Linked DNA regions of Arabidopsis thaliana. The protein of the gene in region 3 interacts with the protein of the main gene of each other region in a pairwise test. Each region holds a gene or a part of one and is shown on either strand. Other genes may lie near its edges. The genes, in order: PTAC6, AT3G12830, MYB73 and ckl4.

Region 1 (9,105 bases), on a different chromosome or scaffold from region 3:
GTGACCAACAATGCTCATAAGACGGTTGATTAACTCTGTTGAATGTTTTCCCTGGCTTGCCTGCTGCCACAAAAGGCATATTAGTTTTTTCTCATACCGTTTCAAGTTTCAAAAAAATGAGAAGAACAAATGGAAAAGCTCTAGTACCGCAATCCTAGCAACTTTAGCAAGTTTCAATTTAACATCCCTGGGCAATCTTCTCTTCACTGCCTGGGATGAGGTATCAGCTTCTTGATTTTCAGTGATAGCAGGAGGCCTTGCTGCTTATAAATCATAAATTCTTGTAAGTTGAAAATCACCAAATGCTATTCTAGTTGGTCACACTTGAAAAATATTAAAACTCACATTCCACAACCACCTTCTCCAGTTCCCTTATGGCTTTCTCGAGGATTGAGGTTTTAGACTTCACATTAGAACCATCTTTTTTCTGAGTAGAGACAGGTTATTGCAGAATTATAAAGCAAGACTGATGTAAACTTTGTGGTAAGAAAAATGCATGGAAGCAAAGATTGACCAGAAAAATATCACAGAACCGAGATGAAAACTGGAGAAACAAAACTACGACCTTAGAATGCAACCAACTTACTGAGTGTATTTTATGTAATTGTAGACACAGTTGGAATGTACTTACAGACGCTTGACTAGATTGTCTGCTTCCCGTTACATTTGCCAGCTGATGCATACCATTGTTTTCTTTCTGACGGACTACTGTTACCTCTGCAAAGACATTGGGGGGAGATTTTCCTAGCAGGGACGTAGATTGTTGGTGTAAGCTTTTGTTGCTGTATTTCTGATGAAGGGCACTAGAGGATCCAGTTTCCCTTGACTTGTGACTTGTATCATTCCTAGACTGATGATTTGCTCTATCAGAATGCTTCACATCATCCAGAGGTACTGAAGTATTTGCATCTTGCGCTCCAGAAGGCAAAGGTGACTCCTGTGTTTTCCAGGACCCAGGAGCAGTTGATTGATCCTGGACTTCCCCATTCGTATAATCAGTTATCAGACTCAAACTCCGACATAAATTAGTATGATTTGCAATAAAAGATGTTACCTTTTTCCTAGCTGTTATAGACAACTTGGTGTGTTTATCGGATACGTCAACTGCATCACGACAGGGTTTTGCTGAATCTTTTCGTCGCCGTTTTTTGGGTTGCTGGTTAGATGTTGTTGAAGGTTCCCTATTGTGAAAATGAATCAGGGATTAGATAACTTGTAAATGAAATATAGCATGATTAGGCAAAATGAGAAAAACTCTATCCTATCGAAAGTGCAAAACCTACATCTATATGAACGTTTTTTAACCAGAAAAGTTGAAAAATGGACTTTACCCATACCAAACACCCTACAGACATTAGTTAAGGCAGTAGTAGCAAGACTGCCAACCATATTTTACCATTTGGAGAGACTACACATATCCAAATAGGAAGAAAAACTGAAAAGCAAGGTGATTTCATATGTTTATTTCAAAAACTTACGACATGCCTATTCTAAACATGATCTGAGTGATTGAAAAGTGACAAAGCCACCAAAGAGTTAAGAGACATCAGATAATGAAAAGAGGAAGATAACTCACATCCGCTCCAACTTGCCTCTATTTACATAAAATCCATCATGTTTAACTGTTGAATTATCAACTTCGAAATACTCATCCTGCAAGGAGTAGAGTAAAACAGAGATATGATTTCTCAGCTATCAAAAATATTTGAAAGATATCAACACCAACCAGTTCAGCATCATCTATAAATGAATCTTCAGTGTCATACTCATCATCATCAGGAGCACCGTCTAACTCTTCCCCATCACTGCTATCGTTCCCCTGAGATTTATTCTCTGAAGTAAGCATACACTTTTCAGAGATGTGTGAATGCAACAGTGCTATTGCATGGTATGCAAAAATGTTGTGAATGTGAAAAATCAAACATATAACAACCTACCAAGAAAAGTGTTTTAACAAAGAGTAGCATACCTTATAGAGCCTCTCTATCTTCTCAATAACAGCGTTGAAACGGTTAGAATGAGGTTGTTCATTCGTTTCAATCTCTACTGGATGCCCCTACATTATATACGAAAATACAGCTGTTGAAAATGATTTTAACCACCCATATTGTATGCATAAGAAGAATATATTGTGAGGAAGCTGCAAGCATATTATACCATCTTAAATGAAGATCCACTATTATATGCTTCATTCTCTTGCACTAATAGATATTAATAAAACTTTCTCTATATTCTTCACTATTACAGCTATAGTTTCCATTGCAACTATGTGAACCAAATTCCTTTCCAGATCAAGTATAATTGATGGCATATTCACATTGATAACGATGAAGTTAGCCTAATGTAGCTAGCAATTAGAAATGAAGCCAAAGATCATATATCAGGTTGTAGACTTTCTCCGTTTAAGGAGTTTGCTTATTGAACTCTAGTCACAGACGTCAGAGAGCAATAACAACAGAATTCCTCCTATACCATATCGATTTCAAGCATTTTCCCCAACAAATAAATCTGAAAATCTGCGAATTTAGTAAAGCTCCTTTATAAACCCTAACAAAGATTACAACTCCCCGAAACAAGACAAATGCTTACTCCAATAACAGCAAACGAAACCCACAAATGCCTACAAGTATATATATCCGATTACCAATTCCTACAACATCAAACTCACCGGTGCAATTCGAAACTCAAGGTTAGGGTTAGCATTAGGAGGCGGGTCGGGAACCGAAGCCGATAAACCATTGACCTTACCAGCATCCCTCATAAGCTTCTTCCACGAAACATACGTCGTATCCCCTGGCCGAAGCTCCACCTTGAGTAATTTCCGATCACCGGCCGTTAAAACCTTCGGCGACGCTCTCAACAATTCGCCGCCAATAGAACCACCACTCATCTCATTAACTTCCGACATTAATAATTCGGGTCGGGTCGGGTCGGATCAGTTTGATCCACTATATACTAACCCCTGGGTTCGAGACGGATTGATCTAAACAGCAATCAAGAGAGTGGAATCGATGAATCGATGTAGAGAAACTGAAACTGAGAAGAAAAAGTTGCGCGGGATACCAAAAATGACGCTCTTAATTATTTCCTAATTTATTTTTGTTGTTTTATTCACTAAAAAGGATTATTATTATATTATATAGTTTTTCTTTTTTTTTTAATTGTATTTTTCCTCGAAATATCTAATCCACAGATAGATAGAACACTCTGTGAGCTTTATCCGCTTCCAATGGCGTCTTCCGCCGCTTCTCCTTCCTTATCTCTACTCTCATTCACCTCGAAGCCACCTTATCCCTCCGGCTCTCAGCGGCTATTTGCGTCATTCAGAACGGACGGTCTTTTCGCGCCTTTAACACTGAAATCCCGACGCGGCCGTGGTATAGTCGTTAAAGTAGATGACGTCGATGCTGATGGAGGTGGAGCGGACGAGTATGATATGGATGATGAGGAGGTAGAGGAAGTTGACAACAAGAAGGACTATGATGTCGAGTATGACCCCTTGGCCGCCGCGATAGCCGCTGCAGGCGGTGGTGGTGATGGAGATATCGCTTTTGTTCAGAGTAAGAGTTTTATATCGACACAAGGATGGGATTCGGATATGGTGGTTGATTATCGGATAAACGAAGATGAGTTTCATAAACTCAGCTTAATGGACTGTGATTTCTTTATCAGAAAACCTCCTGATCCAGATAATGATGTTTATGATTTCAGAGAGGTGTGTGAATTCCCAGTGACTCTAATTGCTCATTTCTTCGATTTCTCTAGAGTCTGTGCTCATTCTTCAATTGTAAATTGTTTTGTGTGGGTGGCTGCAGATGTATGTTACTCCTCCGGATACAGATATTTACTCAATTCCGAGAGTTCTTGCACCGATGCCTCAAAAGGTCAGTCATTTATCCTTATCGGTTGCTGTTTTTGTAATGCCTATGCGTTGTTCTGAGACTTCCTTTTGTTCAGCAAGATAATTGCTTTTCATATTGTGCTTAATTGCTAATTGAACCCATATACCTCCACTCTACCTAGTAATTGTATCACTTAAGAAATCTTATCTGCACAGAGCTCTACCTAGTAATTGTATAACCCATATACCTTCACTCTACCTAGTAATTGTATAACTTAAGAAATCTTATCTACACAGAGCTGTACACGTTTGGTATTGTTTGGAACTTCTACTCACACTGATAGACTGGAATTTTGAACATATAATCTCAAAAAGTGCCGTAAATGGTCAGCATTTAGTATGATTAGAGAGTCAGAATGTAGCAGCTGGGTGTTTGTTTAGTCACTTTCCTTTCATTCTGTGGCCAGTTTTGTACTCTTTGCTGCTTCATGATTGCGTATGTTTTACATTGTAAGGTTTATTTATAAGCAAGTTGTTACAATGAGTGAGTGGTGCTAACAAGGGCTTGTTTAATGATGTTACAAGTACAGTATATTCGATGTGCAATGAGTGACTATGGATGTTACAATGTCACTGAACCACCTATTGATGCCCCCAGAGATCCACTGTACAAATCTGAGAGGGAGATATCCAAGGTACATATTGGACCATGTACATTGATGTTAAATCCATTAGGTCTTTGATGCAGGGAGTCTTGAGCAACATGTATTAACAAGGATGTACTTAGTTTTGATTTGACAACATTTTTGGAAACCACACCAGGAAATATGTTTTTTAAGCATTAAGGATGAGATCAACACGAAACTACTTAGTTTAGTAGTTACAGTTTCTGATACAAATTGTCTTCATCGTGTTTATTTTTTATGCAGGTTTTCTTGACAAAACATTACCGGAACAGAAGGACAAACGATCCAGAATTTGTGCTAGATCTTGAAGAGATATATGTTATTGATTCCAAGACAAAGTCAATCACCAGAGCCAGAGTTCTGGTATGACTAATTCTTATCTTCCAAGTTATTTAAGCATTATTAACAAAGTTCTCATTCCGAGTCTGAGCACAAACCTCAACCGTAGACCATAGCCAATTGGGTTTTTTGACATATTCTTATAGAATATTTTTCATGCTATAACACTAATGAAATGCTGGTTTATATTAGTGCTATTTATGCCTCTAGTTCTGAATCAGATATCTTGAGTTATGAGTTCTTTAAATACTGTGCATAGCTCAAAGCTATGAAGACAATCTTCTTTCCGATGTTAAGGTTTTAGATTGTTTCAGGTGACAGTTCCGGGAGGAAGAAAAAGGGATAGGAAGGATGACTTGCTTGTGATACGAGATAATGGAACCTCCTTTAAGATCATACACGTGGTACCTTTCCATTTCCAAATGACCAAATCCATTTCATCTGGCAGTCATTTGTATTCCTTCATCTAGCTTTACTCATCTTCACTCTATGTCTATATATTTCCATTCTTTCAGGGTGAAAGAGATGACCCAACAACGGTAATAGAAAGAGAAGAGTGGACCAAGACTAGAGAAGACATGGAGAAACATCTCAGGAAGCTACGAGACTTCAGTGTCTCAAATTGGTTCTAGAAGAACTCGAGAGACACCAAACGACAAGTCAGCATAACTTTCTTCCTGAGATGGAAAACGAGAGCAGATGATCTAAATCGATGATATGGTGGAGGGTATACAATTTTGGTGACCTCAGGTACTGCACTAGCAGCAGAGATGGATGTGTTATTAGATGAATATGGGCCTCTAGAAAAAAGTGTGTAGATGCAATAGTTTGATGGACTAACATTCAATGACTAGAGAAGCTAGCTTATTTGCAAGTTTTGAGGTGTTTAATTCAAGTTTTCAATTGATGATTATGATGGCTTGTATTATTCTTGTGATGAGATATTTTCATATTCAAGATTGGAACAAAGTGTTTGTATTTGAGAAATTGGGATGGTGTTGACTGTTGTTGAGTGGACTAGTTAGAACTTGTAGCCGGCGTGTCGTTTTAGTTATACGAAGCTACTAAAAACGACAGGTAGTCTGTTATTCTAAACTTTTTGATGTAATTAATGATGACATCAGGAAAAGACACGTGTACGGTATCATGTTCGGTCGATTGGATTTTCACGTGAGTGGGATTACAAATGTCAAAGTCGCCGACAGAGCAGTCATGTTGTGTGGTTGGTTCCATTGGCCCATTCTGTGACCACCGAACATTAACTTCCCTATTCAGTTTTTTAATACAAATATCTTTATTTATTGCCACACTTGAAAAATTACATGAATCACTTAGAATGACACGTAAAACAAAATAAATGCACCAACAGTTCGGTGATATGGAATTCGTTAGGTATATAAGAAATTAAGAATAGTTGTAAAACACGATTGTGTTCAATATTATGGAATGAAAATTGCGATAGAATGGTCAGAACGATCGATTTGACATATGCCAAACCAACAAGGTAGAGAAGGAAATGATCAAATCTTAAAACAATTCAATTGAGTCGAAGAAACAAAAACATGTGCACGATAAAATGAATTGCACGATAAAATAAAGAAGATTGACGTGAGAAAGAATAGTCAAATGGAATAAAAATAACGATAAGGTATGTGCATCAACCGTTGAATTTGTAAGTAAGTATGGTTTTGGTGGGCTACATTTCTAATAAGCATCTTTGATTTGTCAATCTACCTATTAAAATACATACACAATGGACAAGGAATGATTCATATAAAAACAAAGGAATAAAATCACATAATTATGATAATTTGTTATCTCATTGCCGGAACCTCATTTATGGTACTTTTATACATGGCACAACATTCTATTAATCGATAACGGTGGACCATATTCCCCGTATTTAATACGTAGATTTCTTCTTCTACTGTTTGGTATGGTACCAATCTCTTAAGTTAATTATGTAACATAAATTCAGATAAAAGAAAATGTTTGTGTTGCATATATTTTTTTTTTGTATAAAATAATCTACAATAGGGAATAAATAAAGTTAATTTCATGAATGTATCTGAAATATTTTTAAATTAATTAAAATGAGCAAAAAAAAGAAAAGATATATCTATATATATTTTTTATAATTTGTTATTTGTTAGGTTGATAATTAATGAGAGAGTGTACTGTGAAGACTAAATATTAAATTATGTATTTTATTTATCTAAATGGCAACGAAATGAAAATTCTCATATGTCTGCTCCTCCATTCTTACTCTTCTCTCTTTCTCAGAAGCTGCAAAACCAGAGAGTGAGAGAGAATAGAGATTCACTTTTGTGAGCGTTGCGATGATTTTGTGCCTCGTGGAATCATCACACTACAACGTATTCACCTGAAATTCAGACAAAACAGTTTGAGGAAACTGGGAAGTGATAAGATAAGAGAGTGATAGAGAGAGAGATGACGGAAAACGGCGTCGTTACAGGAGGAGGCCATACTGTTATGGTGGGCGTAAAGTTCGATGAGTCGAGCAATGAGCTACTTGATTGGGCTTTGGTTAAGGTTGCTGAACCGGGTGATACTGTAATCGCTCTTCATGTACTCGGCAATGGTAACACTTTTTTGTTTCTCTGTATTAAAGCTACGATTTTTGGAAATGGGTTTCCATGTTTACTCTCTCTTATTGGATTTGTGTAGAGATCGTTGACCGAGCAGACAACTCTTCTCTCGTCTCCATTGTTAAAAACTTTGATTCTGTTCTTGAAGTTTATGAAGGTTTCTGCAAATTGAAACAGGTATGCTTATTAAAGTGGAAAACTTTCATGCTCTATTCTCTCTGCTCTAGCTGATGATGGTTGAATTGCTTTTAATAGTTGGAATTGAAGCTAAAATTATCCCGGGGTTCTTCTACTCGAAAGATTCTAGTTAAAGAAGCAAAAATGTGTTCTGCGTCCAAAGTTGTAGTTGGGATCTCCAGACGTTTCCATACAATTCATTCATCTGTCTCCGTGGCTAAGTACTTAGCTAGGAAAGTAGCAAAAGATTGCTGGGTTCTGGCTGTTGACAATGGAAAAGTCATGTTTCAGAAAGATGGTTCCTCATCGATCATTCATCACTCTAAAGGTTTGGCCTTTCTCTATAAGTTTCTTTTGTATGTGATGATTTCTGTGTCTGTATTAGGGTTTTGAACTCTTCTTCTTTCTTGGGCATTGGTTTGTAATAGGTAAAAGTGATGCTCGTAGGAACACTTTGTCTAGTTTCTTTCAGATGCCTGTCACATTGAGAAAGAATACCAAAGTAGTAAACCATTCTGAGGTGGAAGAGGAAGAGGCAGAGGAAGATCATTCCAATGGTCAGAGTCTTCGGCGGTCTTTAGTGTATGCATGCCTTGGGAATTGCTCGGTTCGTGATATGAATTCCTTGCCTACGCCTGGAAATTTATCTCGATCGTCTAGCTGTAATGGTGATCAAGATGATAATGCTGATTTGCACAAGGCAATGGCACTTGTTCCTGCAAAATTTCCAGAAGATTTGACCCCATTCATTACAATGCTGGTAAAAGAACTGCCTGAATTTAGACCAGGTTGGCCTTTGCTTTGTCGTGTAGCTTCTTCAGATGTATTAGCTTCTGCTCCGAGAAGTTCTTCGTTCCGAAAGATACCAGTTGTGCAGTGGGTGCTGAAGCTGCCCGCTAGGACCAATTCTGTTGTTGGAAGCTCAGACACAAAGCAGATTGGTTTTGATTCTTCTGAATCTGAAGAAAATGATAAGTTGTCTAGCTCAAACGTTGAAAGGCAAGCAATTGTTCCTGATGAATCTATGATCGTGAAATGTTCTCTTGATCATAGCTCAGGTAGATTTCCAGAGAATGTAGAGGGTCTTCAGGCAAGGATCTCCACATCTTGCCAGTTTTTTACGTATAAGGAACTTGTGTCGGTGACATCCAATTTCTGTGCTGGTTTGTTCCTCTCTTCTCATAATTAAGCTACCGCTTTGTTTTGAACTTTCTTAAGACTCTTGTCATTTCCTTTTGTCTAAATAAGAAAAGCAATGTACTTTCAGATAATTTCATCGGAAAAGGAGGCAGCAGCCGGGTTTTTAGAGGTTATCTGCCAAATGGAAGAGAGGTTGCAGTGAAAATTCTCAAACGAACCGAATGTGTCTTGAAGGATTTTGTGGCAGAGATTGACATTATCACAACCTTACACCATAAGAACGTTATTTCCCTTTTAGGTTATTGCTTTGAAA
Region 2 (7,094 bases), on a different chromosome or scaffold from region 3:
AAAAATATTTTTTACTAAGTACGCATTTTAAAGAACGCGTTAAAATTTGTAAGATTTTCTTCTAAAAGTAGAACGAGTAAATAAGTATGGAGTCATGGAGATGTTATATATATGTTTATAATATATGGTGTCGTCTTGAACTTAATTAGTCCACTCATGGAATGACAGCACAATATTAACCTGTAATTCTGTAAATTAACTTAGATTCAACGGCAAAATATCATCAACACTCGAATGTAAAACAAAGGAAATTATAAGGTAAAAAAAAAAAAAAAAAAAAGTTAATTATAACAAATTGTGGAACAAAATAAAAATATACAAAATGTGAAGCGAGGGAGGACTTATAACATAAGCGTAGAATAATGCATAATACATTACCTTCCAACTTCAACTTGTAAATTTAATTTACTTATAAAACATCAAGTGATGTGAGCTTTGTGTTGTGTCTTTTTTGCACATAGCACACGACGTCGTTAAACCTCCACGTGCCTGCCCCACAGGCCACAGTTGAATTCTTTACGTTCGTTTTGGAAACTGGAAATTAAAGAATCGAGTTTTCAAAGAGTAGTTTTGGGCCGCATTCGGAGCTTTATGGCCTTTGAAACTAAAATGGGTCTTAAATTAATCTTGTTAGGGAGGTTCTAAACACAGGTTAATAACGGAAGCCCATCCATATTTAGTCCCAATTTTTTTTCTTTAACACCTATTAGTATTTAGTCCCAATGTTAATCTCATTCTTTAAAAATTTATGTTTAAACAAAATGAGATTTGTCGTTTTAACGCAAATACTTGGTGGAAAACAAATACATGATCTTTTCATCTGAAAACGTTTTAGGCATACACTTCAAATGTTATTCGTGTGGATTTATGTGATAGAAGAGTCGCTCACTCATATGTGGAATAGTCGGGATTCCTGCATTTTTCTACCAAAAAACATTAACGATGTTTAAAATATTATTTCATTTCTTCTATTATGTGCCACGGAGCAAAATAGTATAATACCATATATATTGAACAACAATGATAAGTATAATCACAATGTGATCCCAAAGAAATTGAATAGAGCTTAAAGAATGAATCAATCATGAGGTATTCCGTGTCCTCCGAAGCAACAATCGAATTCATACTTGAAATGAGCTGCCTAAGTACTCATATATACTTACTACTATATTTCCATGCAATTCCAATATACGAATGTTCCTTAATAAAATAAAAGTACATATTATAAAGTTGTCATTTGGACCTCATTTCAAGAGAATCTTTACAACAAATGACTCTTTTTTTATGATAGTTCTTGACCATACACATGTATGTTTCCTGTTGAGAGGTGTACATGATAATGAAAAGAATAAATGAAAGGAGGACTATTTTTTTTTCTAGTCATGAAGAAAAACTCGATTTCACACTTGGACAGTCGTCATAATTAATGTACATTAACTAAAGTAAACAAAATAAAATACTTGTTTCCATCAAACCAACTATATATAATCAAAGTTCTTTCACTCATTTTTTTTTCTAAGGAAACTTAAGATATGTATTTAGATCCATCCATCTACATGGCTCTCGATGACTTTGACTACATTAATTATATATAAGTATACGTACTATAGATCTAATATCTAAATGTGTATACACCGACTTTGAAAATTTATGGTTGCATTCGGATCAGTCGTCTTATTAATTGACAACAAAACAAAAGAAACAGGAAAACTAATGATTAACTGTGAATTGCTACAAATATATAAGTAGGCATGTGGTGCTGCAGGTGATGCAACATGGGAAATCATATAAATGGACGAAAATTCCCAACTCTATTATTAACTTTCCTCAGATTGGTCACACAACTAATGATTAATTTGTGATTAAACTATGAAGACTATACATATGGAAACATATTATCATTGAGAATCCATAGATGTGGGACAGTTAAACCTCCACATGTTGCTCACTCGGGTCGCATATATAAACATGTGGTGGTGTTTCTATATAAGTAAAGCTGATTAAACATAAAACGAAGGTTACCTAAAAATATGTCTAAACCATTATGTGTAATGTGTGAATTAGATAAGTGCCAACGGTGCAAATAAAGTGAGATCCCATATATAATGATAAAAGTGTTAGTATTTGCCCTTTTAAAACCAACTCATTTGTCTACTAGCTGAAGATTCACCATGTTAACCGAATTCATAGCTCATTCAATTATGGTTAGATAGACACTGGAACGCCAGAAACAAATGTTAGTTTCAATATTTGTGGTCTATATAATACTGTATTGGGCTTGGAATCAAGCTTGTGTTTTGGATCTGAAAGAATGTAACTACAGATGCAAACCCACATGGTTTCACTAGTTTTTTTTTTATGAATTTCAATTATTTTTTTCTATATTTTATTATGAATCTTTGGCATTACTTACCAAAAGATATACTCTCTTCTAGAGAAGCTAAAGGTAACAGATAACTACTTGAGTATCGGGTTAAAAATATTATAGTAACGGCCACAGATTACAGTTTATCATATCCCCTTGATGTATCGCATTGACGGATTTACCCTGCCGATAATCTCGGTGAAACATCAAAATCCTCTTTTTGTTTAACTTGAACAAAAAAAACTGTAATCATGTCAAATAAACCCAGAAATTAAAGAGATCCAAACTGATGCAAATTTTCCATATAAAAAAACTTCACAAGAATTTCAAACCGATTTTTAAAACCGGCGAAAAAATTAGAAAATTTGCAAACAACAAAGAGAAAGAAAATCCCTAAATGCGTCTCCTCTTCCACTTTTGGATCCTGGAAAAATTATATACCTATTTACATCGACACGACGACGAAGTATGATGACTCAGTAGTATCTGAACAAAAACAACCAGATCTAGAAGAAAAAAAAACTTCTCTAACTACCAAGATTCCTTCCAATAAAAGCTTCTTCTTCAAATAGTCCCGTCACCGATTAGATCCTGAACATCAATCGGTACCGGAAGTCCAAGACGAAGCGATTCCATGATTCGTTCGAAGACAAGGACATGGCAAGGGATTTGTAGAACTCCTTTTTGCTCGTAACCATACTCTTGAGCAGATCGGTTTAGTAAACCGATGAAAACCGGATGGTTAAGTAGCTCCGCGCTAACGACGAACCTCTCCATCTCGTCACCTACGTAGACCGGTACGTGTCCTTCGGGAACAGAGGAGGTTTGCTTCTTTGAGCGGCGAGTCACCGAAGAACGGAGGAAGGATTCGGAACGGCGGCTAGGTCGCTGTGAATCGGAACGGAGGAGACTGTATTGAGCGGAATCAGCGACGCGAGAGAGACGACGGATTAGTTGCTTCATCGTCTTCGTGTTGTGACTTTGAGAGAGAGAAGAGAGAAACTTTTGGTGATTGGTACTGAAAACGGATGTTTGAGAATTCGAGAGAGAATCAATGAGAATTTTGTGAAGGAGAGAGTGAGGGAAGGTTTTGGATTTTATATTGAGTCGAGGGTATTTTGGGGAATGTGTATTTGATAAAGTAGGTACGGGGAAGGAGTACTTGCCAGGTACACACACTTACTCGTAATTTTCCACTGACTTTGAAAAATATATAAAATCCTAAAAATATATAATATGATAAAATATCATATTCATTTGATGTAAATCTTTGATTATTTTTTTAAGATTTTTTTATTCTCTTAGATAACTGTTTGGATTTCCATTAACAATATATATCCCCGCATTATCATAATCTTTTTTGAGTATAATGATATTATTGTATTTTCTGATCATAATTGGAATTAAAATAGCAATTAATTTACCTTGGTTATTCTACCAATTTATTGAAAGATTAGATATAGTTTTTTTCTTGTTAGTAATAGATACACGAGGTTCATGAGCAACCCAAAATATATCTTAATGATGTTGTAAAATTAATTACAAGTAGTTATCAGGAAAATAATAACATTATTCATGGTAAACTGATTATAATTTACAAGAGGCCAATATAATGTTCAAAATACAATTTTCATTCAAGCAAATTAAAAAAAAGGGTTATATATCTTTGTTTAGATTAATCCATATACTTTGTAATCCTATATCATGTACATGTAGTTAATATCATTTCATCTAATCATCTATTATCCTACTTCAACTAAGACTGGATATCCAATTCCACTTTGGAAAATTTTTACATATCCAATTTTTACATTTCTTTCTTTAATCCTACTCAAAATATAAGGTGTAGAGAAAGATAGATCCCCTCGTTTTTTTTTATCAAAAGATCCCCTCGTTAATAATTATATTTTCAATATATTAAATAATAAGCTAGAAATTAAATATGGATGAAGTGTGGAAAAGTTAGTTAATTTTGTATATGGAAATAGTTAATTGCATACAAATTTATATTGTAAGATAGCGTATATAGCCATTTAAATATATGGTTTCATACTCGTAACAATGTTCATGGTTTTTATTGAATATGTGATCTATCATATGGCCTAAGTCTTAAATCCCCATAGGAATAAATGATGCCTTCAGAATCTGGTTACAAAGTCTACTATATAGGCTGGATTTTAAATTTCATAAATCAAATACAATTATACAAACTAAATATTCTGGATGGAAATATTACAAAACAAAATGTGGAGCTTCAACTTCTGTTGACCCCAAGAAAATGACATAAAAGGCTTCTAGAATTTGGACCAAGTGATTAGATATGAACCATTTGTGTAAATATTATGAATTCTTTTTGAACCAGTACGTATAGATTATTCAAATAGTCCATACTCACCCTCAACGACTTAAAAGACTTCAATATTCATTTAGCTTTCTTCTGGTCATATTCATATCCTCACGTAACCATCATTGAAAACTAAAATAAGATGTAAGTTACTTGTAAGTTTCCATTATGTAATATATTTTTCAAAGATTAATCACTGTACTGTCTATTATTTTAGATCATAACTAATTAAAAAAATAGCCAAAAAAAACTTATTAAATTTTAACAAATTTTCGTTTTCATTGTGTAAACATAAAAATCTATCACCATCATGACAATATAAACACAAGCCATTCAAGGATATAAGTGATATAATTAATTCATATACTACAAAATATATAGCTGCATGCTCGATTGAATCAAACTTCATAAGTGACGATTCGCTATACCTATTAATGTTGATAATAGATTACTTGTCTTTGCCACAAAACAAAAAGATTACTTGTAAGTTGTGACCTCTAGAAGAAGCATCCGACTATGCAAAATGCACTCAAGCCATGAATCATGACAAATTAATCATAGGTTTATGATCAGGTGACTTTATAAATTGATATTGCCCAAATCTATTAATACACATTCAGTTTTGTGACTTGATTATATACATCTTTTCCCATTTTATAATTTCTTTGAAAAAAATGGCGCGTGAAATTGTAATATACAGCGCGTAGATATCATGAAGGACCATCAGCATGTGTGGGTTAGATAGAGAAAGAAAAAGTAAAGCAGAACTGTTGAAGGATCATTCTTCATTCTGTAAAGGTTAAACTTTAAAGACAAAGATATGATGATGTGACCTAATTTTCTCTGGTTTTCGAAAGTGTCTGCCCCCTAACTTATCTTGGGGGTTACAACTTTAGTCCCCTTTAGCCTCTTAACTTTATTAATTATGTATACATACATATATATATAACTATATTCATATATGGATTAATCAAAATAAAGTGGTCTCGTACTAATAGCCATCTATGTTATTATATACTGCCATGCATCTTTTGTAGGTTTCATCCAATTTAGTAATTTTGAATTCCTACTTGGTCTCAAGTTTTACCATAACTAGAATATCAACTCGATGATATTTATTAGATACTAGCTAATCCATAAACTAGTGTGATTTGTTACATAATTGATTTAAAAGGAAACAATACAAGCAACTTAAAGAAGCAACTAGTTAAGGTGGGGATGGAGTGTTTACAAAATTGTAACGAACTCTCAAGTGGTTAATTCCCTTACGACTCATTTTCTCAAATTTCCGTGGAACTCCTCTCTTATATGATTCAAAACACATTTATGATTTTATTGATTTCTTGTGGAATTGGAAGTGTTCAACCCTCACGTAGTCGGCAATTTTCAATATCCTCACTCATTATACAAATTTGGATAAAAGGAACCGTGTCACTCAAATGATCATAAACATATACACATTCCAATCGGAAACGACTTATGAAGTATTTAGTAACTATATATTACCCTTATCCATAGTATAAAATCCACACCTTTATTTATTTGAAGGCTTGCTAGAATCAATATCTAAAACACCTAATTTCTGCGTGTTGCAATACATATAAAAATCATGCAAAGAATCGGTTACAATTCTAATGGTCGTTAGTCATTGATATTTGATTATAATAATGAAGTAATAGAATTCAAGGAATATCAAATAATGAAACATAAACAGCAATATATATAAAAAAACATATGCAAATATTAAACTATTATGCAAAAAAACACAGATAGAGAAGAGAATATTCCTCCAACGGCAAAGGTTATTAAGAGCCATTACACTTCAATCATTGAGAAACACGTCAATAGCTTGAAACTTCACTCTGATTGGGTTTAGCTGTAACGCGTTACGCGCTATTGCATCATTTAATAAATATGAAGATAAAGTATGTCACCGCTTCCATATACATTAACATTTGCTCTTTTCAAATGCAACTACTTAGTGCTCTCTCTGTTTTAGTTTTATATAAGTTGTAATTTAAAGTTTTACACATATATTAAAAAATTACAAAAATCTCATTTAATTTATCGCTTTTATATAAAAATATCATTTACTATAACTGATTCAATTAATAAAAAATTATATAATTAAATGTTATTAATTAAAAAAGTATTAAATATATTTATTATTTGGGATCAATTATGGGATTAACACTTTAAAGTGTATCCTTTTGTGATTTTAGGAACATTTCAATGTACTACCAAAAACAGGTAATTATACGTGATCGTATTTTACAATCTCACCCCTTTCAGCTTACACTCAATTATTTGATTTCTCTTTTATTTATTTTTCTCCTCAATAGTTGAAGATGCTTCAACAACTTGGCCATTATTTGCTACCGCAGA
Region 3 (7,423 bases):
ATACTTTGTACGCACTCCTCTTAACTCTTTCAAGCTATATCATTTCCAATACTCTTTACAAATTGCCGTGCTACGATTCTATAGTATTCTTTAAGATTAAATTAGCTCACGAAATACTTAACTCTTTCGGTGGAGCCAAACCCACAAACTAAAACCATCAGTTTCTTACCACTATATATGCCAATGACCTCTTTTTTGAAAATGCAGTTAATTTTTAACATCTATCAGCGTTAACCTTTTTTTTATAACTTACTATTCACAATACATATAAAATCGACAAGAATTGCTTTCAGTTATCAACTACAACCCTCACAAAAGTCGGTTATTATAATCCAGAAAATGAATTGGGTTGGTTGGACGAGATTAAAACTTAACTCCATTCCCATTAGTAACGATTAAAATTAGTAGTTTTTCAACGAATTGATTAGTAGAATTAAACAACAAAAACCAATAAAAATTAGAGAATAAATTAGGTAATAGGTACGATGTACCTAAAACGGAAGATCTCTTACCGTATCTCCATTAATTACACAGTTTTGTCCATCTGCCTCCCTTCGTTCACTCTATGAAATTATATCGGCTAATATACAATTTGGTTTAACACTAAGATAAAAAACAAAATCTGACCGAATCTTATCCTTTTATTTTTCCCTTTTCTCAGGGATACTTAATAATACTTTTCAATGCTCAAAGCATATAAACTAATTAGTTTAAGTCGAGTGACAAAGAGTAGGAAGGTCGCAAGAAACTTCCCTTAGCATCGGAGCATGTGCCTCGTGCTCTGCAGTACACGGCTGGATTAGTTGTTTACCGGTGCCGTACACTTGACAGATCCCAGTTTTAATAGTTTTTAAAATCTACATTTTAGTAGAAATTTATATATATTCACTCACAGCGGTCGTAAAGTAACTGCTGCGTCCATATTTACATAAATCATTAGGCTCGAAATCATCATAACCTAATGGCCTAATTCATAAGTGGTTTACGCATAGATATGCATTCATGAACGAAGAAGCTTCTTTAGCTAAATGAATTCTATGGGAGTGTTTTAGTACTAGTATCTACGGTTTTTCTAACGTTGGTAGTTGATGATATATGTGTGAATGCATATCAAATTGACCACAACATAAAAAAATGAATTTATGGTTAAAAATGACTTCTGAACCGTTGGTTGGTTACATAATCCATTAATAGAAACAAAAATAAGGACAATGCATTTAATATATTATTCGAATACAATTCTTCGCTTACTTAAAAACATACATATAGTTGACTACGATTTATTCCACTCAGACAATACGACCCTCCAATATTTAAGTTTTATTTTCTCACATATTTTGAAAAACACCAAAATATATTTTTGTTCTCTTTAATTTCCTTCAAAAAGCTAAGTGTATAACTCAAAAAAATAAAAAAGTCAAAAGTCAAATTTGTGTTTTTTACAAATGATAAAAATTCTAAATTTCTTAACTAAACACTAAACCAAAGTATTTTTAGTTTTCCAAACACAAGTTATAAAGGAGTTAAGAATGGTAAATTACTAATTAGTGAAGAATATATAAAAAAGGGTGGGTGGGTGACCGGCAGGTGGGAGAGTGGCCGTTAAAGGGAGGCAGAGATTTACAGCCTGTTTTTGTTTTTTTTATAATATCAGAAAATTAAAGTGGTAACGATCAGCCTTCCGATCTATCCTTGTCGTTTTGCGCCACGTGAGCAACTGTCTCTTTTTGGCCTATCTTTTTCTTTTTGTTTTGCTTTTTTTCTTCTTTGCTTTTTAGAGTATTTCATTTTTGAGATCGGCAAAATATCCAAAACATAATAATGATAACAATTTTTCAAATAAATAAAAAAAATACTAATAATGGTATACAGGCTGGCTTCCTCAGTCAAAAAGTCACCGAATCGAACCAAAACCTCATACCTAACCGTTAACTTCATCCTTATCTTCTTCTTCTTGTTTTCCTTATTTCTTTTTGTTGGTGCTCTTTTTTCATTTTTCTATTATATCATACATTCTTTTACCATATTACTTCAATTATTGTTGGTTTACCTTCATAAGTTTAATATGTTTTAGTGCATACGATATCAACTGTTTTGCGCAAAGGGTTGAGTTTTTATATAAACTAAACGAAAACAAAATTTGGAGGGTACTGAAATTGTTCATTTTTCATTATCTTGGTGTAAATAATCTATGAATCTCATGTGTATATGCAAAGTCATATGAAGTGAACTTGGTTTAGATATTTGTTGTATTTTCAATTTTCATTTTTAATTATATCATACATTCTTTTACAATAATCTTCAATTATTGTTTACATCCCTAATTTTAATGCATAAGATATAAATTGTTTTGAGCATTAGGGTTTAGTTTTTTTATAAACTATATGAAAACAAAATTTGGAGGGTATTTAAGTTATTCATTTTCATTATTTTGTGTAATTAATCTATGAACTTCGTGTGTATATATGCAAAGTTGCATGAAGTGGAACTTGGTTTTAGATATTTATGAATATCTAGATATTTGTTGTATTTCAGTTTGTTAGGTTTTGTTCTCTCTTTCTGCCAATTACACACACTTTTGTTTTACAAAGAACATAAATAAAAGTTACATATATATCCTGAAAAGTTTGCTTCACTGTATATATATCATCATCCTACACGCGCTTCACCGGCGTTTACCCTTTCAATTTCTGGTTAACTAAGTTGAACCGGATTAGTAATTCTTCGGTTTAGTTGTTCTTCTATACGACAATTTATCACTTGACAAATATAAACGATCTATTACTTGCAACATTCATATTTAATCTAGTATCTTACACGTACATATTTGTTAGAAATTCAATGACCAAACATTGCAAAACTATTACATTCACTTGTTGCATGTAAGCTAGAAGCCTAGAACTCGCTGTCAACGACTACAATGTCTACATTATTTTCACCGACACAATTTACATCTTAACCAAAATTTGGATATTGGACCAATCGTTCGTTTATATAATAACCACACGTATCAATCAACACACAGAAGACAATGACATGTAACAAACAGTGTAAAATATTGAAAATAACTTATCAAAAAACTTTAGTTCATAACACAAAAACTTTCGGCTATTTTTTATTGACTTCTATGTAGTCTTTTTGTTGCACTTACTATTTTTAAAAGCAATATGTATGTTTCCAGCAGATTCTTAGTTTTTACAAAATTTTGCCTTTAATATTTTTTTTGATATACATTGCCATTCTTGATTTCATTTTCTTCTACAATAGTATCAAAATTTTACAAAATAAAACTTCAAAAAACATACGAAAAAGTTAACAAATATTCAAAAAGAGAATGATTTTAAAAAGGATATAAATATAGAGAGAATAAAACGTAGAAGTTAACGATTTTTTTTTGTGAGTGTCACTTTAGATGGAAAATGAAATGATTGGGTAAAAACGCTCCACCTGTAAAACAGAGAGTGGAAGAAACGCTCCTGTGTACGAGCGTACTCTCTCTTCAAAAGAAAACAAATCTCTCAAAAAAAAGAAAGAACAATTGAAAAAAAAAAAGCAAATCTCAAACTCAAAGTACATATACTTACTTGACACGTGTTAATATACAGCTGTATCCCAAGTCCCCAACCGTTTTTCCTGGAAGATTCTCTGCTCTCCACGCTCGATGTTAACCTCACACAAACGCTTATCTCCCAAAACGCCTTTTCCAATCGCCAACGTGTTTTATTTTTGGTTTAAAATAAATATCTGTTCCAATCATACAAACACGTAAATGTTGTCAATTTTTTTATACCCAAACGTTAACGAGGTTTGTACGTAGCCCATTTATGGACACATAATTATGAACATATAAACAATGGTTAATCATACGTTTAAATTAATTAAATTCACCAATATTTTTTTGACTGAATGAGTCAAAATTGTTTAACGAGTAACGACCATAATTATCAGTTTTTATTTTTTATTGTTTGAACTACCATAGTTATCCGTTTAACACTGAGCAAATCTCTTTATTAATAGAGAAAACGGTTTTATTTGTTTCCTTCTATAAAATTTGTTTTTAATAATACGTTAGATATTTTTATGCAGTTAAGGATAATATTACACTGTAAAGTTTAACTAGTTTAATATCGTTTCTGTTAAATCGATAAGAAAAAATTACCGGTTGAACCGGTGACCCTTTTGCCCACTCCTTTCTCGTATAAATACTCTCTCTTCTTGCTCTTATCCTCTTCAACCAAAAAGCTTTTCTTCCCAACACACACAAAAAAAAAAACTGTAACGACCAAAAAAAAAGAGGACGCGTTAGAAGAAAAAAAAAGAACAATCCGATAAAAAGATCCGGCGATGTCAAACCCGACCCGTAAGAATATGGAGAGGATTAAAGGTCCATGGAGTCCAGAAGAAGATGATCTGTTGCAGAGGCTTGTTCAGAAACATGGTCCGAGGAACTGGTCTTTGATTAGCAAATCAATCCCTGGACGTTCCGGCAAATCTTGTCGTCTCCGGTGGTGTAACCAGCTATCTCCGGAGGTAGAGCACCGTGCTTTTTCGCAGGAAGAAGACGAGACGATTATTCGAGCTCACGCTCGGTTTGGTAACAAGTGGGCTACGATCTCTCGTCTTCTCAATGGACGAACCGATAACGCTATCAAGAATCATTGGAACTCGACGCTGAAGCGAAAATGCAGCGTCGAAGGGCAAAGTTGTGATTTTGGTGGTAATGGAGGGTATGATGGTAATTTAGGAGAAGAGCAACCGTTGAAACGTACGGCGAGTGGTGGTGGTGGTGTCTCGACTGGCTTGTATATGAGTCCCGGAAGTCCATCGGGATCTGACGTCAGCGAGCAATCTAGTGGTGGTGCACACGTGTTTAAACCAACGGTTAGATCTGAGGTTACAGCGTCATCGTCTGGTGAAGATCCTCCAACTTATCTTAGTTTGTCTCTTCCTTGGACTGACGAGACGGTTCGAGTCAACGAGCCGGTTCAACTTAACCAGAATACGGTTATGGACGGTGGTTATACGGCGGAGCTGTTTCCGGTTAGAAAGGAAGAGCAAGTGGAAGTAGAAGAAGAAGAAGCGAAGGGGATATCTGGTGGATTCGGTGGTGAGTTCATGACGGTGGTTCAGGAGATGATAAGGACGGAGGTGAGGAGTTACATGGCGGATTTACAGCGAGGAAACGTCGGTGGTAGTAGTTCTGGCGGCGGAGGTGGCGGTTCGTGTATGCCACAAAGTGTAAACAGCCGTCGTGTTGGGTTTAGAGAGTTTATAGTGAACCAAATCGGAATTGGGAAGATGGAGTAGAGTGATAAGAACAAGTTTTCCCTCTGTTTCTCGGGAAAATAAAAGTTTCAGGCTTTTCATGTATAGAGCCAGTAGTAGAGACGACGAAAGGAGGAAGCGAAATCAAAAAATGTTTTGTTATCATCATCATATGATCTTCTTTCGTGATTCAATTAAAAGCAAAGCAAGATCATTTATTAACAATTTACACAAACTTGAAGAAGAAAAGTCAAAAACACTTCTCAAACTTTTATTCTATGGGTTTGTTACGAGGAAACAAACATAAACTAAAAGTAGTAAATATAATCTCACGTGACATAATATATGACCTGAAGAAACCAGTCGAAACGAAACATATATACGATTTTGATGTTTCATAAGCGATCATACAATTCACAGTGTCTTGCTTTTGCAGAATTAGACAAAGAACAGCAAGTTACCCCCTAATGTGCAGAGCTTAAACTGTTGCTGCTGCTACTGGTTGGTTCTTGTGAGCGTAACTTGTTGATTAGATGAACTATGTCTTGTTTCCACGACCATGATGGATCGTTTAGACCACGTACTGAGTTTAGACACACCAGAAGAGTCCCGCCTTCATGTAGAAGTACCTATGATCACAAAAATGCAGGTTAGCGGTTTTGTCTCTCGGGTAAATGATGGATAACAAAAGCTTGTAGTGGGTATTAGCTTACGTACCGTCAACCACAATGGGACAAACCCTAAAACTGAAGGAAGAGCGGCCAAGAATATCGATGTTAATGCAAGAGCTACGTTTTGCTTGACCTGCAACATGATACATTCTTGTTAAATCAGGCAATCTAACATCTGAAACTGGTTAAGAACAAAGACTTTTATGTTTTATCTACCAATGATGTTGTCTGGCGGGATTTAGCGACACAGAACGGAACACCGGTGATGTTGTCTCGAAGCAGTAAGATGTCAGCAACGGCAATCGCAGTGGCACTCGCTCGTTGAGCAAGAACAATCCCCACTGTTGCAGCTGCTAGAGCTGGAGCATCATTAATCCCTTCTCCTACCATAATTAAACCTCCACCTAGCAAAAATCACAACTCTAAATTCTCAGTCTCTTGATAGATGTTTTTGATTGGGAACTATGGCGAGAGTAATGAATGATCACCTGCTTCCCGAGCAATGTTCTTTACATGATTTAACTTATCCTCTGGCTTTAGGTTGCAGTAGACTTCGGTAATACCCACTGCGTTTGCAACTCTCCAAGCACTTGAATCATGGTCCCCAGTTAACATCATTACTCGGAGTCTGGCCCAGCTTTTAAGTTCTGCTATAACTCCTGACACCCCTGGACGAGGCTGATCTTCGAGGTGAATCAATGTTACCTGACAAAATTTAGTTGCAAGGCTCATAAATTTCAGTGTTACAGAGGTTTTTATGGACTAATAAATGGTCAGATGAGAGATGAAAATCACAGACTGTGAAGTAGGAAAGAGGTTTTTAGACCAGCTAAAGAAGTAGTCGTAGTATACCTTTTGATCAACAGAAAGAGCAGCATGAACGAAGTCCTTTCCGTACGAAGACGCGTTTACAGCATCCTTGATCTGTTTAGATTCATCTTCAGATTTGAAAAGTGAGGTAATGAACTCTATAGAACCAAGTGATGCTTTTCGTAATCTACTCTCTTCAGCTACTGTCTATTACAAAACCAAAAAATGTGGTGAGAGACAACATCATATATATTAAGAATGAAAGCCAGAGATGTACACACATCACCCACAGCTATACACTATAAAATCTGGTAGATAAATGGATATATATAAGAATCTAGTAAATAACTGAGTCTCACCTTAACACCGTTGACAGTAGCAGTAAGGCCTCTACCAGGAAAATATTCGAAGCTTTCAACAAAAATAGAAGGAAGATCCTTACCCACACTGTGATCTACAACAGCTCTGCAGCAAGATGAAATGTGTCAGAAACAGCAGAAAAGACCTATAGTACTCTTCAGTCTCAATCTCTTACCAGACCAAGCATCATTTAAACTAATAAACCAGTGTAAAAACCAGTGTAAAAACCAGAGATAGAGAGCTTCATAGCGTTCAAATTTGCTTTTTCCCCTTCCTTTCATCCGATTGTGGTAATGAACTAGAAATAAGAATAAGTT
Region 4 (9,688 bases), 3.3 Mb from region 3:
GTCCGTACACATTGTTATTGTTAAAGATTATTTGAATAAACAATATTTAACTTAAATTTTATGTTGTTTATATATATGCACTTAAATGTTTGTGATATAGTTAAAAATAAAGCTAATAATTTTCTTACAACAGTTGGAACCCGAGCTACGGCATCTTGGAGAGCCAGCATTTTGTGGAACCAAACACAACCAGACACTTCTTACATGAGGTTATTACTTTATATATACATAAATATAGTATACATACAAATAATTAATCCATGTCTTAAGAGATATAGTGGTTAGAATGTACTAAGATTTGACATGATAATTTGTGTTAATTCTTTCAAAATCGTTTCTTTACATGCGGATCTCTCTGAATGATTTTGTTTTCCAATCTTATAGGATCAGAGAAATATATCGTTGGGATCGGGTATTCAGAACTTCGAAACCAGTGAAGCAAACGAGCTAGATTTGGAATTGAGATTGTAACTTTGACTTATGTATGAACTCATATTATTGGATATAAGGCCATGGAGTTGTTTATACATTCAAAGCAGTTAAGAGAAATAATATATAGGTCATTTGATATGATTTGGGGTATCAGATTTTGATATCAAGATGTTTCTATGGTCAATAGACCAGTCATAAAGTATTGTCCATGCATGACTCCATATATAGTACTAATTTGGAGTACAAAGAAATATCATTAATTAGAATCTGCATGACGGGAACGGCTAATACTAGATCGTAGTGTGGATATTCGTATAATACAAGAATAAAAAACTATATACGTAAAGGTTTCGATTGGTAACTCGGGGTTTTGGGTAATCGCGTCTGCTTACCTCACTTTTGTAAACTTTCTTATTGTCCATTTCATCGCCTCCTCTATTGAATATCCTTAATAGTTAGTTCTTTAAACTTCATGTAACGGCAAATACTTGTAAATAGAGCTGACCCTCTTATGTATACATTAAGAAAAAAACTAAGACAAAAGTTACTTTCGGATAAATAAAAAAGTAAGCCATATGCTTTTATATGATTATATGTTGTAAGAAGAGCCAACAATGTTACGACATCATCGATAAAATGATGTTGATTGATTGCCTTTGTGATTAAGATTAAATTTAATTGTCATGTAAGAATATAATAATTGGTTGGCCTCTTCGGTCTCTTTTGGATTGTGGTAAGCGATACAATAATTTTGACTGATGGTGATTGGTGGCGTTGATCTAATTATCACAAGGAATGAAAATGAAACTAAAGGTTTTGAATATATAATTATGATTTCTTAACAAGATTAACAAAAACGCGATCAACATGACCTTTTACTCATTATCAAACTTTTTCTCGTACAATGTTTGTCTATTTACCATTGATCCAGATTTATTGTGAATATAATATACAAGAATATTTCAACACCCACCGAAAGTTATTCTTGACTGATCACTGGATTTCCTTGCTTAAATCATTAAATAAAAAAACCTTAAAACACGTTTTAATGATGTCTTGCACTTTTAGAACGAACTTTATAAACTAATCTAAATGGAGAATCGTTGTTTACAATGTTTCACCACTTCATGAGTGTCCAATCTCTGTTATGTGAACGAAAACAAACCAAATTAAATATAATCTATCTAAAAGTAAAACCAAAATGTATCAAAATTTATTTTTTGGTTAAGCATGATTTATTAAATTTTTTTCATGAAATCCTAAAACAATGTAACGGATTTTTTTTATCTAAGCCCTATGCAGTATGCAACGAGACGAAAATACCTGATTAAAAATATGGAAATCGTAAGGAACAATAGAGTAATAAAACAGATTGATGACAAACGAAGTTACTATTGGTAAAATTTCTGATTTGGAAGAGGAGAAGTTGACAAGTTCATCGACCCCATTTATTTGTGGAGTCTTCCCCACGTATATTCCTCGGCCTCTACCACAACCGCGTGAGCCAGCTAACAGTGTCCATCTTCTTATATTTTAGTTTTTTTTTTTTTTTCTATCTAATATTTATTTATCAAACACATGTTGGTGATTGGAAACTAAGAAACATACATATTCATAGTACCTTTCCAGGATAGCATTTTCTTTATATTAAAGAAGTTAGTTCTTTAATTGTTATGTTGTCTAATTCATGCATACAAAGTTCATTAGATGCACGTCAATTGTCAAAACTCTATACTTTTTGGACTACGTCAAAATTTCGATTTCTTAGAAGTTATATATAAAGAAAGCCTTACTGACAAACAAATGGTGATCGAATAGAGTTCCAATCCAAAACATTCCAAACACAAATCAAATTCGTAAGATGGCGGGTCTTCAAGCGAAGACGTTAATGTTCGTTCTGGCAGCTGCCTTAGCGACTCTTGGTCGCACATTTGTGGAGGCAGACTTCAGTAAGAATTTTATTGTTACATGGGGTAAAGATCACATGTTCATGAATGGTACCAACCTTCGACTTGTCCTAGACAAATCTGCAGGTATATAGTAATCTTATAACACAATAACTTTAAAATCAGTCCATTTAATTTTAGTCTATTATTTCATGAGAAACTTGATAGATAAACATGTATAACTGTTTTTATGTTTTTGTTTGTTTTTGCAGGATCTGCTATTAAATCAAAGGTGGCTCATTTGTTTGGAAGCGTAGAAATGCTCATCAAACTTGTGCCAGGGAATTCTGCTGGAACCGTTGCAGCCTATTACGTAAAATTTTCTTTTGAACTCGATCGATAGAATTACAAAAAAAATAAAAAAAAATAGAATCAATACGCAATTCTTTTATATATAGAAAAATTAGATTAATGTTTTCAGATTTTTCTTTGTAGTTATCGTCTACGGGAAGTACACACGATGAGATAGACTTCGAGTTCCTAGGAAATGCGACTGGTCAGCCGTACACGATCCACACCAACTTATATGCTCAAGGGAAAGGAAACCGCGAACAACAATTCCGGCCATGGTTCAACCCGACCAATGGTTTCCACAACTATACCATCCATTGGAACCCATCCGAAGTTGTGTAAGTAATTAACTTATGGCTATGGCGGTTTCTTAAGTACTTTATAAAAACTCCAAACAAATGCTAAGAAATGGTACTTTCTATCAATGAAATACCACATCAAAAAAACTTAAGTAAGATTAAATGTTACTTAGATAGTTTAGTTTGTTACTGTAAAACAACATTAAAGTACAAACACTTCATGATGAATTTTTCTTTTAGTTCCTTAATGTTTTCGAACCTTCAAACCAAAAAAACTTTAGGAATCTCAAACGATTATATGTTTTTATTTCCTTTCTATAAATAAACGTGTCGCACACCATGTTGTATATCTTATATAGGTGGTTCGTCGATGGAACTCCGATCAGAGTTTTTAGAAACTACGAAAGTGAAGGAATCGCATACCCGAACAAGCAAGGTATGAAAGTGTTTGCGAGTCTATGGAACGCAGAAGACTGGGCAACACAAGGAGGTCGAGTGAAGACTAACTGGACGCTAGCACCATTTGTGGCCGAGGGTCGTAGGTACAAGGCAAGAGCTTGTTTGTGGAAGGGATCAGTCAGCATCAAGCAATGTGTAGATCCAACTATACGGTCTAATTGGTGGACATCACCATCATTTAGTCAGCTCACTGCTTCGCAGCTGACGAAGATGCAAAAGATAAGAGATGGTTTCATGATCTATGATTATTGCAAGGACACTAACAGATTTAAAGGTGTTATGCCTCCGGAATGCTCGAAGAAGCAATTCTAATTCAAGTTTCCGGCCAGCGGGCGGAACGAGGAGAGGCTCCGGCAATCATAGCACCGCGGTCGAGGTTAATGGGGACGGACTGTAAATTCGTTTTTCATTATTTTTTTTAATAATTTATTTTTCTGAATTGTTTTTGTGAGGATTTTTGTGTGTCTTTGATTCATTGATAACTCGAATGAGCAATCATGATGAAGAAGAAGAAGTTTTTTTTTTTCCATTTTTTCTTTGTTAAAATCCTATACAAAAAAAAACAAATTCAAAAGCTAAAACCCTAGTAAAAAGAGACAAAATCCAATACAAAATTATCCCCAAAATTATCCATATTTAGACACATTGCGTTGACTTTAGAACTAGTGGATTAGAAACTCCACCGGTCCTACGTGGCAACTAAATTTCAGTCCACGTCACCGACACACAAATTTTCTTAGCCTTACTATACCATACAATTTACGTTAATGCCCCTATTGTCTCATCTATTCGCAAATTTCAACTCTCAAATTCAACGAAGTAAAAAAGCCCTAAATTGATATCTCTATCCCTTGCGCATGATCCAGATTCGGTTGTGATCGGAGCTGCCATGGAACGTATCATCGGCGGCAAGTACAAGCTCGGACGGAAGATTGGCGGTGGTTCCTTTGGAGAGATTTTCCTAGGTGTGTTCTCGTTGATTCTCGAGTTTTGTTCTTCTTCTTTGGTTTGAAATTGACGTACCTTGTTTGTTGATTTCGCAGCTACGCACATCGATACCTTCGAGATTGTAGCTGTTAAGATCGTAAGTTTCAATTGAATCAGCTATTAAACGAATCTACTCTGGGAATTTTGTATCATGTTCATTGTTTCGTGTGGTTCTTTGAATTGATTAACTCTAAATTTATCAGTCAAGCTCCTTGAAATGGTACTTTTTAGCTGACAATTTGTCTTTAACTCAGATCATTTGGATTGTTTTGCAGGAGAACAGTAAAACAAAACATCCTCAGCTTCTCTATGAAGCTAAGCTATATAGAACTCTTGAAGGAGGAAGTATGTTTCTCATTCCTATCTTTTCCCATTCTGTCGTTGTTGGTCATTGGAGGGATTGATTATCAGTACAATGCTCATTTTGCAGGTGGAATTCCGCGCATAAGATGGTTTGGAGTTGATGGAACAGAGAATGCTTTAGTGATGGATTTGCTCGGTCCAAGTCTCGAAGATCTTTTCGTCTACTGTGGGAGAAAATTTTCACCAAAGACGGTCTTGATGTTGGCTGATCAAATGGTATGGCATGAGTTTTAATCACATTTATTGCGTCTGGTTCTGTTTAAATACTAATCATTTCTCTTGAGTTATACATTTATCATCTAATGTGCTTATGATTTTCTTATTCCGATTTTACAGCTAACTAGAATAGAATATGTACATTCCAAAGGATATCTGCATAGAGATATAAAACCAGATAACTTTCTCATGGGCCTAGGCCGCAAAGCGAATCAGGTTTATCTAATTGACTTTGGACTGGCCAAAAGATATCGTGATGCCAACACCAACCGCCACATCCCTTATAGGTATTTGTGGCCATGGTTCATTATATTGTGTCTACCATCTGGAGGTGGTAAATTATCTTATCTGTTATAAGTTTTTAAGGTCACATTATACAACTTATTACCTTTTATTTGGTTGTATTCAGGGAAAACAAGAATTTAACAGGAACTGCACGATATGCAAGTTGCAATACACATCTTGGTATTGGTAAGGAATGCTGCCACTTTTTTCTCCCCTTTGTGAAGTAAAGTTTTTGCTCACATATTTCGATTTCTCTTTCGCAGAGCAAGGTAGACGGGATGACCTAGAGTCTCTTGGATATGTGCTTCTGTACTTCTTAAGAGGAAGGTGTGTTGACTTTTTGACTTGAAAGAACCTAGTTAACATTGTGTTTTTGGCAGGGTATTGTTTTTCCTTGTTTGAGATTTACTTAACCGTTTTCTTGCTTTACATTTTGTTCCTATTTTAATGAACCTCCTTTTCTAGCCTTCCATGGCAGGGTCTTAAGGCTGTTGACAAGAAGCAAAAGTATGACAAAATTTGTGAGAAGAAGATATCAACTCCTATTGAGGTCTATTTCCCTCTACTGTGTGAGTGAATTGTTTTTTGTTAATCCTCATTCAACTGAATAATATCCCATCCTTTGTAGGTTCTATGCAAAAGCCACCCCGTGGAGTTTGCTTCATATTTTCATTATTGCCACACACTGACATTTGATCAACGCCCTGATTATGGATTCTTGAAGCGGCTTTTTCGTGATTTATTCTCACGGGAAGGTACTTTGAGAAAGACATCCCTCCATCATTTTTATAATCCTCTCTGCTAGCATCAGTTATCTACCTAGCTCACTTAAACGTTTTCTTCTTTGCAGGATATGAGTTTGACTATATATATGACTGGACTATTATAAAGTATCAGCAATCACAGAAAACTAGAAGTCAGTCTCAGGTATAGTTTATCAATACCATTTGTTATTTTTTTTTCTCCAGGTGTATGCATATTTTGTCTTGTTCATAGAGAAGATTTCCTGGGGAGAAGTTTTACTTGGTTTTGCTATTTTTTAGTTTTGGTGCTAAATATAGATATGCCTGTCTTCCTAACAATAAACTGTCATGCTGCAGGCCGTTCCTGGGTCTAGTAATGCTCGTGCAATACCAATGGACACAAGCAATCATCGAGGTCAGCTCGAGTTATAAATTTTAATTGTGTCACTTTCTGATTAATTTTGTAATAGTATATGATGTGTTTTTTGTTTTCTCTCGACTTTCACACTGGACTCAACTGGCATAGAGTGTTTGGCTGATTTAGTTTCCCGTTGCAACTGTTTATTTCAATATCTTGATGCTAACTCTCCGTTTGGCAGGAGGAACTAAGATTTCACATGAAGCCCAAGTCTCTGACCGTGTCAGACCGGCTAATGCCAGTGGTCCAAGCCCACAGATTAATACCGCTGTAGGGAGGAGTCTGGGTTTTGATCAAGTCCACAAGAATGTACGTGCTTATTCATTTGCCTCTTCCAAATAAATGTTGTATCCTGCAACCCTCCCCCTTGTGTTAGCATCTCATGCCTGCATCTGTGTTGCTTCAGAGTTCTGCATGGTTCTCTGCTTAAAGCTTTTACCTGTTTTGCATGGTCAATTGTCATCAACGAGCTCTATATTGTGATATGAACTACATATAGCATAAATGATTAAAACACGATACTGATCATCACGAAATATGCTCTTGACCATTATTTTACTGAAAACCCATTGCAGATGAACATGCCATCATCCACTTCATTATCTCCTGCGGGTACCTCAAAAAGAAATGTCAGACCCGAAACCTCAAATTCTGGGTTTGGGAGCGGGAATAAAACCGGCGGTTGGACTTCACCATTCATGTCACCGGGGAAATGATGCAAAAAAAGTTGGAGTATATCATTCATCTGATCTGCTGAGCAAGATTATGTGTGCCTTTGGGTCTAAACTGTGATTTCTGCAGTGAAAAGCTCTAGACTGAGGTTGAAGATCTGAATGGAGTTTTTCCATGAACAGCTTACTGTTTGACAAAAGGCATGAAGATTATGTTTGCTTTCCTTCAAGATTCTCACAAATGACTGACTTCAACCTTTGTATAAAATCTTGCAACCGGGCGTGTAATTTGGTTCTTGTGATTCATTCTCCCAAGTTTTCTTCTATAAAACTTTGTTCGTATTTCTGTACGTAGTTCCCTGTGTTGGGGCATAACCTGGGTTTGCTGTGTCATCAACATTGTTTGCAGAAAATCAAGAGCAAAGCATGAGCAGCTTCAGCAGAGATGCCTTCAAAGGCTTGAGTCAAGAGTTGCTTGTGGCAGGGACATGTCACCATCAAGCTAATGTGCAGCTGACGAGAACGTAAAAGGATAAGCTATGGCTAGCTTCTGGAATGCTCCGAGAAACACTTCCCCCTTTTTTTTTCTCTGAATTTCCTATTCAGTTTAATGGTATTCTGTGTTTGATTTTTCTTACTCGATTTTGTGCATTGAAAAAAATTATATCAAAAAGCTTGACTTGATCCAAACATGCATTTTCAATTGCTATTATTAAAAAAAAAAAACGTATAAAATTGTAGTCTCAATATTGAAATACAAACACCTAGAATTGATCGATTTGGTAGAGAACTAGTTAGTGGATTAAATTTGGGTTGGCTGATTTTCGAGCCATAAACTATTTCGATTCTCAGCTTTCACACCCGGACTTTTGGGCCTTTAAATTTCCACCATCAACTTTCATATTCCCAAAATTACATCATCTATTTTTGGATTCATGCTTAAACATACATTTCCAATTGAACCATTCATTTAACCGGGATTAACCACAAATCCGCGTTTACTGTACCGCGATTGCGATTAACCCAACTAATACCCAGACCCGTTAAGAAAACGACGTCGTTTTCATTTCGTTTAACTCATCAAAAAGAGAAAGAAAACGACGTCGTTTTCATTCTTCTTCTTTAACTCTCAAATCGATTTAGTCGTTCTTCTTTAATCTCGACACTGTGAAATTAGGGTTCTTGAGAGAGAAAGACAAAAGGGGATTTGGGGTTTTCTTCTTCGGTTCGAATTTTTGGGTCTCGATTTGGGTTTCGAATAGGGAGAAATGAAGAATTGGTGGGAGGAAAGATTGATTTACCAAAGCGATCCAGATGACCCCGATTTCGAACCTCCAGAGAGTGACATTGAAGCCGACGATGGAAGTGATAGTGGTGATAGCGGAGTCGAGGAGGACGAAGCCACCAGAATCGAGGGAGAGGACGTCGGGATAGATGGAGACAGAGCTTCTGATGGAGAGGAAAATAGAGAAGACGATGGTGACATAGCGTCTGATGGAGACGTCAATCTAGAAGACGATGGAGACAGAGATGAAAGTCAAAAGAAGAGGACTACCAAATCGATTTGAGAGTTAAAGAAGAAGAATGAAAACGACGTCGTTTTCTTAACGGGTCTGGGTATTAGTCGGGTTAATCACAATCGCGGTACAGTAAACGCGGATTTGTGGTTAATCCCGGTTAAATGAATGGTTCAATTGAAAATGTATGTTTAATCATGAATTCGAAAGTAGATGATGTAATTTTGAGGAATATGAAAATTGATGGTGGAAATTTAAGGGCCCAAAAATCCGGGAGTGAAAACTAAGAATCGAAATAGTTTATGACTCGAAAATCAGCCAACCCATTAAATTTTCGAACCTTCATCATTTTGCAGACCCCAAAAACGGAAATCATCAAATCATCCACCGTGCCAGCGTGACATTACAAAATCACGTAAATACCCTCGTGTTTGTTTATAAGGTAAAAAAAGATTGGCGGACCCAAAATGGTGCAGTAGTTAGGTGTACAAATTTTTTTTTGAAGGATCACTACTACGGCTCAAACAAGCCTGGGTCCATGTCACTACCACCGATGTCAGTCAAACAAAAATAATAATATATGTTTTTAAGTTCCTCTAATTTCAATCTTCTAAACAACAACCCTAAATCCTTATCTCTATCCTTGCGCTTGATCCAGATTCGGTTCTGATTGGAGCTGCCATGGAACGCATCATCGGCGGCAAGTACAAGCTCGGACGGAAGATCGGCGGTGGTTCGTTCGGAGAGATTTTTCTAGGTTTTGTGTTCTCCTCTGTTCTTGTCCCTTTGGTTTTCCGAGTTTGCTTTTTTATTTGAAATTGACGCTCTTCTCTTCTGTTTGTTGTTTTCGCAGCTACGCACGTCGATACCTTCGAGATCGTAGCTGTTAAGATCGTAAGTCCCAGCTCAATTTGCCTTGAGACGAATTGAATCCATCCAATCTGGAGATTTGATTTGGATCTGCTATGTCTCTTAATTGATTTTGTTTGAATTGCTTTACTCTAAAATTGAGCAAGGTTTTAAACTCGGTGCTTTTTAGCTGCAATATATTCTTCAAGCTA

What was found.
Region 1: the proteins of MYB73 (region 3) and PTAC6 interact in binary tests that used the Arabidopsis thaliana proteins (3 or more experiments, as listed by UniProt).
Region 2: the proteins of MYB73 (region 3) and AT3G12830 interact in binary tests that used the Arabidopsis thaliana proteins (3 or more experiments, as listed by UniProt).
Region 4: the proteins of MYB73 (region 3) and ckl4 interact in binary tests that used the Arabidopsis thaliana proteins (3 or more experiments, as listed by UniProt).

The regions. Positions count from the first base shown.
Region 1 is NC_003070.9:7,567,907-7,577,011, reverse strand, and holds PTAC6 (plastid transcriptionally active 6), read left to right. Parts: upstream 1-3,165; 5' UTR 3,166-3,229; coding exon 3,230-3,715; intron 3,716-3,815; coding exon 3,816-3,884; intron 3,885-4,431; coding exon 4,432-4,536; intron 4,537-4,770; coding exon 4,771-4,890; intron 4,891-5,180; coding exon 5,181-5,270; intron 5,271-5,381; coding exon 5,382-5,498; 3' UTR 5,499-5,616; exon of another isoform or gene 5,617-5,990; 3' UTR 5,991-6,167; downstream 6,168-9,105. Other genes in the region: AT1G21610 (wound-responsive family protein), read right to left, coding at 1-63, 148-260, 346-427, 632-973, 1,055-1,181, 1,577-1,653, 1,727-1,819, 1,970-2,056 and 1 more; AT1G21590 (kinase with adenine nucleotide alpha hydrolases-like domain-containing protein), read left to right, coding at 7,318-7,468, 7,555-7,652, 7,731-7,980, 8,081-8,815, 8,920-9,105. UniProt on the Arabidopsis thaliana protein: Essential protein involved in plastid gene expression and in chloroplast biogenesis.
Region 2 is NC_003074.8:4,076,188-4,083,281, forward strand, and holds AT3G12830 (SAUR-like auxin-responsive protein family), read right to left. Parts: upstream 3,441-7,094; 5' UTR 3,329-3,440; coding exon 2,930-3,328; 3' UTR 2,464-2,929; downstream 1-2,463. Other genes in the region: AT3G12833 (uncharacterized protein), read left to right, coding at 6,942-6,959, 7,052-7,094; AT3G12835 (uncharacterized protein), read right to left, coding at 7,078-7,094. UniProt on the Arabidopsis thaliana protein: Provide a mechanistic link between auxin and plasma membrane H(+)-ATPases (PM H(+)-ATPases, e.g.
Region 3 is NC_003075.7:17,536,258-17,543,680, forward strand, and holds MYB73 (myb domain protein 73), read left to right. Parts: upstream 1-4,232; 5' UTR 4,233-4,344; coding exon 4,345-5,307; 3' UTR 5,308-5,542; downstream 5,543-7,423. Other genes in the region: HMA1 (heavy metal atpase 1), read right to left, coding at 5,730-5,894, 5,983-6,069, 6,153-6,340, 6,425-6,641, 6,789-6,953, 7,106-7,211. UniProt on the Arabidopsis thaliana protein: Transcription factor that functions in salt stress response. Acts as a negative regulator of NHX7/SOS1 and CBL4/SOS3 induction in response to salt stress. In response to auxin, activates the transcription of the auxin-responsive gene IAA19.
Region 4 is NC_003075.7:14,242,043-14,251,730, forward strand, and holds ckl4 (casein kinase I-like 4), read left to right. Parts: upstream 1-4,217; 5' UTR 4,218-4,316; coding exon 4,317-4,392; intron 4,393-4,470; coding exon 4,471-4,511; intron 4,512-4,689; coding exon 4,690-4,759; intron 4,760-4,844; coding exon 4,845-4,993; intron 4,994-5,113; coding exon 5,114-5,280; intron 5,281-5,402; coding exon 5,403-5,464; intron 5,465-5,541; coding exon 5,542-5,605; intron 5,606-5,743; coding exon 5,744-5,828; intron 5,829-5,906; coding exon 5,907-6,033; intron 6,034-6,128; coding exon 6,129-6,205; intron 6,206-6,378; coding exon 6,379-6,436; intron 6,437-6,620; coding exon 6,621-6,748; coding exon of another isoform or gene 6,749-6,781; exon of another isoform or gene 6,782-7,014; coding exon 7,015-7,155; 3' UTR 7,156-7,830; downstream 7,831-9,688. Other genes in the region: AT4G28840 (mediator of RNA polymerase II transcription subunit), read left to right, coding at 134-209, 385-471; XTH26 (xyloglucan endotransglucosylase/hydrolase 26), read left to right, coding at 2,294-2,465, 2,591-2,691, 2,814-3,007, 3,328-3,739; AT4G28870 (mutator transposase MUDRA protein), read left to right, coding at 8,379-8,678; ckl3 (casein kinase I-like 3), read left to right, coding at 9,309-9,384, 9,481-9,521.